Canis lupus familiaris: one gene and its partner. The protein of the gene in region 2 binds, or shares a complex with, the protein of the main gene of each other region. Links are inferred from orthologs where the notes say so. Each region holds a gene or a part of one and is shown on either strand. Other genes may lie near its edges.

The links. Proteins that work in one complex are often made in the same cells at the same time.
Region 1: the proteins of tubulin alpha-1A chain (region 2) and C9H9orf116 are in contact, whole or in part, in a cryo-EM structure (PDB 7UNG), measured with the Homo sapiens proteins. The link is inferred for Canis lupus familiaris from reciprocal best matches to the Homo sapiens genes TUBA1A and PIERCE1. Residues at the interface, in NP_001257328.1 of Homo sapiens: Met1, Arg2, Gln15, Asn18, Ala19, Glu22, Cys25, Leu26, Glu27, His28, Gly29, Ile30, Gln31, Pro32, Asp33, Met36, Pro37, Asp39, Lys40, Asp46, Asp47, Ser48, Asn50, Glu77, Gly81, Thr82, Tyr83, Tyr224, Thr225, Asn228; in NP_001041730.1 of Homo sapiens: Tyr28, Pro35, Gly36, Arg37, Phe38, Trp43, Phe44, Arg45, Gly46, Tyr47, Arg48, Thr58, Ser59, Asn60, Gln61, Ala62, Tyr63, Gly64, Arg66, His71, Glu72, Pro74, Phe77, Tyr78, Pro79, Asn80, Ser81, Asn82, Lys83.

What each region holds. Positions count from the first base shown.
Region 1 is NC_049230.1:51,280,917-51,285,054, reverse strand, and holds the start of C9H9orf116 (UPF0691 protein C9orf116 homolog), read left to right. Parts: upstream 1-1,198; 5' UTR 1,199-1,215; coding exon 1,216-1,361; intron 1,362-2,466; coding exon 2,467-2,545; intron 2,546-4,138. Other genes in the region: MRPS2 (28S ribosomal protein S2, mitochondrial), read right to left, coding at 278-403, 532-571. UniProt on the Homo sapiens protein: Microtubule inner protein involved in the attachment of outer dynein arms (ODAs) to dynein-decorated doublet microtubules (DMTs) in cilia axoneme, which is required for motile cilia beating.
Region 2 is NC_049248.1:41,237,251-41,239,453, reverse strand, and holds the end of tubulin alpha-1A chain, read left to right. Parts: coding exon 1-48; intron 49-492; coding exon 493-1,473; 3' UTR 1,474-1,684; downstream 1,685-2,203. UniProt on the Homo sapiens protein: Tubulin is the major constituent of microtubules, a cylinder consisting of laterally associated linear protofilaments composed of alpha- and beta-tubulin heterodimers.

The sequences.
Region 1 (4,138 bases), on a different chromosome or scaffold from region 2:
GGAGTCCCGGGAGGGCCCTTGCAAGGAGCCAGGCCGCACGTCTACCCCCCCCACCCGCCGCTGCAGGTGCAAGTGACCCCTGCCCCCAGCCCCCAGCCCCCAGCCCCCAGCCCGCGGGTCTGCTGCCTGCCGGCCTTCCGGGGCCCGCTCCCCGCTGCTCCCCGCTGCTCCCCACCCCCCAAGCTTCGCACTCGGGACTCCTCGTGGCAGACGACTCAGCCCCCGTGGGAGGGCCAGGCGCCCCCTCCCCCCCCCGCCGCAGGGGAGCCTGCCTTACCCGCGCTGCCCTCCGGCTCGCCGACCGCGGGGATCGCGGCGCCTGCCAAGGTCCTGCCGCCGGGCCGGGCCCGCCCCGGGGTCGCCGTCCCGAGCAGAGGCGGCCGCAGCGCCCGGGGCCAGACACCTGCGGGGAGAGCCGGCCGTCCTCGCGCTGTCCCCGCCCGCCCACCCCGCTCCCCGCGGGCCCCGGGCAGCTCCCGCCCGCACCCCCACGCCCGCCGCGGTCCCCGGGGCCCCTCCGCGCGCACTCACCCGCGCCGAGCAGCCGGGGCGCGGTCGCGGCGGGAGCCATGGCGCGGAGGACGACCCGGCGGGGACACGCTCTCGGGCCGCGCTGCTTCCGCCCCCGCCGGCGCCCCCGCCGCAGCGCCGCCTGCCGGCCCGGAGGTGCCCCTGCGCGCCCCGCCCCTGCGCGCCCACAGCCCTCGGCCCCGCCCCTGCGCGCCCCGCCCCGCCCCCGCCGCTCGGCCCCGCCCCGCCCCCGTCCGCGCGCGCCGCGAGCCCCACTTCGGCCCGCCGCTGGCCGGGAGTCACCGGGGCGCGCCCCCCGCCCTGCCCCCGGCTCGGCCCCGCAGCCCGCACGAGTCCCGGCCCCGGGGCGCCCTCCTCACCTCCGGCCGGTCTAGCACAACCTGCCGCTCTCCCCAGGAGCATCCCGGAGGACCAGGCGCAGGTGGAGTCTGCCCTGAACCTCCGGGCGCCGGGCGGCCGTGCGGAGCTGGGCGTGGGCTTCCCGCTCCCCCGGCCTGAGCCGGCCCGGGGGCAGATCCGCGCTCGCCACCCCACCGCGAGGAGCCGCCACGGTCGCCGGCCTCCGGGAGCGCGGCGCCTTCGGGGCGGGGCCGCCCGGGCAGCTGACCCGGCCGTCGCCTGGCAACGGGACGCCGCGCCGCCTCTCGCGGCCTCCCACCCGCCGCAGCGCGGGAGCCCAGGCGCATGTCGGAGCCGAGCCCCCGAGAGTGCGCGGCGGCCGAGGAGCCCCCCGCCCCCGCGGGGCCCCCGCCGAGGACCAGCGACTACTACTGCGTGGACGAGAACCTGCCCGTCAGGTTCAACAACCCGGCGTGGTTCCGGGGCTACGGGTGAGGACGGATCGGGTCGGGGGCCACCGGGCCAGCGCCGGGCCTGGAGGGGGCGGGGGGCTCCCCAGTCCCCAGCCCGCCCTGCAGCCCAGGTCAACGGACTTGCCCGCGGTTAGCACCCAGGGAGCGAGGAAGTGCCGCCCGAAGCTGCAGACCCGCCTGCGGGGGTGCTCGGGTCACTGCAGGAGGGGCGGGGTGGCCAGGCAGCCGCACCCAGCCGCACGCCTCTCCAGCTGAGCGCAGTCTCTGCAGAATCCGAATCCCGCAACCACCACCCCACCCCCCCGTAGCTGTTCTTGCAAAGCCTTAGACCCAAGTAGTAGAACACCCGCCACCACACCTGCCCTGCCCTCCCTCACCTAGTCTCCTCTGCAGGCCGGTAGACCAGATCTGTTAGTATTCTTGCTTTCCAGGAGAGACTGCTGAGGGTGGAAGCATAGCATCCTGCCCCAGATCTGGTGGCATAAGGCACGGCTGACATCCCAACCACAGCCTGGGCTTTAGAGACTGTAGGCATGTTTTCTGCCCAGGGCTCTGAAAGTGAAGGGACCCTCCCACCCTGGGGTGGCAGGGTGTGGAGGCTGAGCCCTGGGTCCTGACCTACCCATCTTCCCCGGGAAATGACGGTATGTGCCAAGCCTCCACCCCGGTTGAGGTCTGCATTTGCCCTCCAGGAGTTCTTTTTTTTTTTTTAATTTTTATTTATTTATGATAGTCTCACACACACACACACACACACACACACACACAGAGAGAGAGAGGCAGAGACACAGGCAGAGGAAGAAGCAGGCTCCATGCACCAGGAGCCCGATGTGGGATTTGATCCCGGGTCTCCAGGATCGTGCCCTGGGCCAAAGGCAGGCGCCAAACCGCTGCGCCACCCAGGGATCCCCCTCCGGGAGTTCTTTAGGGCTTTGGCCTCCCTTGGGGAAGAGCCAGGGTGGAAGTGAGCCGAGGAGGCAGGGAGGCTCATCGTGCCTCCCGCGGCACCCCACCTTCGGAGCCTCAGCACCAACCTGTGGCATTCCCAACAGAGCGCCACCAAGTGAATATTCTAAGACTACAGGCTTGGGCAGAATTGGAGTAACTGTTTCTCATCTGCCAGGACCAAGGAGCCTGTCTCCATGTACAGGACCAGTAACCAAGCTTACGGGAGCAGGGCCCCCACCGTGCATGAGATGCCGGTAAGCCAAGCTTGGAAGCACCTGTGTGTCATTGGAACATCTCCAGGAGGAGGCTGTGACCCTGGATTTCTCATGAGGGGCGGTGGGGAAGGGCCCAGATTTCCAACCTCACAAAACTGGAGGTGGCACATCAAGTCCTTTCCAGACAGAGCAGAGCGGAAATGAGTGAGTGAGCAAACTTAGCGATGGAATGTGTCAAAGATGGAAAAGGTGTGTGTAGACTGGCTTGAGACGTCCCACCCCCTCTGTCATCTTAAGGCCATGAGTTTTGAGGCAGACAAGTGAACAGTTGCTTTCTTTCTGGAATAATACTTGATTTTAATGAACTTGTGGCCTAAAGAGACAGGACGGGCCAAAATCACAGGTGGCAGGAGGACAAGGCATCCTCTTGGCGGACAAGGCATCCATCCCCACGTGGCTGGATGTGGGGATCTGTGCACCTTTGGGGAATCCTCACCCCCTTCTGGAGGTTGATGTCACAGTCTGGAGCTCTAGAACCCCCTTCTGAAGCCCCCTGGTGTCTCTCTTGGGCCCAGGTGAAGGGCCAGGCTGACCAGCGTAAGCATTCCCTGGATAACTCAGGACAGCAGGGCCACCCACTTTGGGCTGATGATGCTGTTGTTTCTTTTGAAATACTCATCATTTAGAGATCTGGCCAAGTTGCTCATTTGCTTGTTTCACATGGGAGATACAGCCCTTGTGAGGAGATTATTTATCTAGAAAGTTTCTAAAGCATTTAAGGGTCACTCACCCAGAATCAAAATGATTCCACATTTTTCCCAGGATCAGGTATTAACATGAAAAATACCAGCACACTCAACTCACTAACATGGGTCCAAATGTTTTACTTTTAGAAACAAGACCATTGAAAAAAAAAGTTTCCTAATTTTTTTTTAAATTGTGGGGGTTTGCCCCTCGCTGGTCTTAGCAGGTGATGGGCCGTGAAGCACTAGATGCTCTGCAGGCAGGGTCGGAAGGAGGTTCTTCCTGCTGCTAATTGACGGGCTTTACCTGCAGACTCAGGTCAGGATACCGAAAAGCGGGCTGCAGCTAAAGCTGGTCAGTAAGCAGCAGGAAGAACCTCCTTCTGACCTACAATCTTTTTTTAAAAAAAAAAGAAAGAAAAGAAAGAAATGCACTGAAGACATTTATTTTTGCTCCTGCCTCCTGCCAAGCAAAAAGAGTATCAGGTGATCTTGACACGAGGAGAGCTGAAGAGCGGGTCCACCTGTCCAGGGTAAAACACCTAGCCCTGGCCCTGTATGTCAGAAATCTCAGGGTCTCCCCAATGACGCTGTGCTGCTGGTCCAATCACCACCCTGGGTGCCTGCGCACACGTGCATGGACTCGGCTGTGCTCCCCACCGTGCCCTCACCTCACTAGGGCAGCGCCTCCCCATGCCCCTGGGCTGGTGGGGTGTGGGCATCAGAGGCATCTTAGAGCTCTACAAGGGATCTGAGTGTGCAGTCGGGGTTGAAACCCACGGATGTGGAGTTCGTCTCTTCTTTACAGAAGAGAAAAGTGTAGTTCAGAGAGGTCCAGCAACTTGCCCGGTGGCACCATTGGCAGGAACAGAACCAGCTCTACTTGGGG
Region 2 (2,203 bases):
ATTGGCAAGGAGATCATTGACCTTGTCTTGGACCGAATTCGGAAACTGGTATGTTTATTCTCAAGAATAAAGTAAATAAGGATCTGAAGGAAGACATTTGAGATACGATGTTTTGTTTTGTTTTGTTTTTCATTTCAAATGCAAAATTGAAATGTAATAGAGTGAGGTGAACTACTCCTTTACAGTTTTTTTTTTTAATTCAATTGAAACATGAACTACTTGGGTATTGTTTTATAAATGTTAATGCAGATATTTTTAATTAAGATGCTTAGGAAGTCTAGGAAGGTCTACATGTATTTAAAAGCATTTCTTAAAAAAAAAATAAAAGCATTTCTTAAAAAATAAAAATAAAAATAAATAAAAAAATTAAAAACATTTCTTGTCAAAATAAGATCTATATTGTTGGAGTTGTATGAAAAGTGGAAATCTGTGTACTTATGATGATATAGCAAAGAGCAGTAATAGGTTTTCTCTATTCCTTTTTTCTAACAGGCTGACCAGTGCACGGGTCTTCAGGGCTTCTTGGTTTTCCACAGCTTTGGAGGGGGAACCGGTTCTGGGTTCACCTCCCTGCTGATGGAACGTCTCTCTGTCGATTATGGCAAGAAGTCCAAGCTAGAGTTCTCCATCTACCCTGCCCCCCAGGTGTCCACAGCTGTAGTAGAGCCCTACAACTCCATCCTCACCACCCACACCACCCTGGAGCACTCTGATTGTGCCTTCATGGTAGACAATGAGGCCATCTATGACATCTGTCGTAGAAACCTCGATATTGAGCGCCCAACCTACACTAATCTAAACAGGTTGATAGGTCAAATTGTGTCCTCCATCACTGCTTCCCTCAGATTTGATGGAGCCCTGAATGTGGATCTGACGGAGTTCCAGACCAACCTGGTGCCCTATCCCCGCATCCACTTCCCTCTGGCCACATATGCCCCTGTCATCTCTGCTGAGAAAGCCTACCATGAACAGCTTTCTGTAGCAGAGATCACCAATGCATGCTTTGAGCCAGCCAACCAGATGGTGAAATGTGACCCTCGCCATGGTAAATACATGGCTTGCTGCCTGTTGTACCGTGGTGATGTGGTTCCCAAAGATGTCAATGCTGCCATTGCCACCATCAAGACCAAGCGTACCATCCAGTTTGTGGACTGGTGCCCCACTGGCTTCAAAGTGGGCATTAACTACCAGCCTCCCACTGTGGTACCCGGTGGAGACCTGGCCAAAGTACAGCGAGCTGTGTGCATGCTGAGCAACACCACAGCCATTGCTGAGGCCTGGGCTCGCCTGGACCACAAGTTTGACCTGATGTATGCCAAGCGTGCCTTTGTTCACTGGTATGTGGGTGAGGGCATGGAGGAAGGAGAGTTTTCTGAGGCCCGTGAGGACATGGCTGCCCTGGAGAAGGATTATGAGGAGGTTGGTGTGGATTCTGTTGAAGGAGAGGGTGAAGAAGAAGGAGAGGAATACTAAAGTTAAAAATGTCACAAAGGTGCTGCTTTTACAGGGAAGCTTATTCTGTTTTGAACATTGAAAAGTGCTCTGATCAGTTAATTTGTATGTAGCAGTGTATACTCTCATATATAATTACTGACCTATGCTTTAAAACACGACGCTTTGTTACAGACTCAAGCTGTCCATTTCTCTGATGGGTTTGAATAAAGTATTCCCTGTCTTAAATGAATTTAGTTTTGTGTTTTCTATTTGGGTGTCTGAAATTCATGTACTTAGTTCTGAGAAAAAAGAATAACCGTTCACTCTATCTTATACATGTACTACGACTTATTTTAAAATTTACTATATTATAAAACTTAATCATAAAATACAAAATAGCGACAAATTACCACTAGATAACATCCATGCTCTTCTTAAATTTTAACTCCATTATATGCTAATACTTTTTAGAATTGATATCCACTAATACACAAAGGTCTGGTTGCTTTGTTAGTCTCATGACTAACAAAACGGTGAATACACAGGACACCTGGGTGGCTCAGCGGTTAAGCGCATTTGCCTTCAGCTCAGAGCATGGTCTTGGAGTACTGGGATCGAGTCCCACATCGGGTTCCCTGAATGGAGTCTGCTTCTCCCTCTGCCTACATCTCTGTGTTTCATGAATAAATAAATAAAATAGTTTTAAAAACGGTGAATATTCCAAACGCATTTATCAGGTCTTAAGCATATTTTTATGCATTCTCATCTT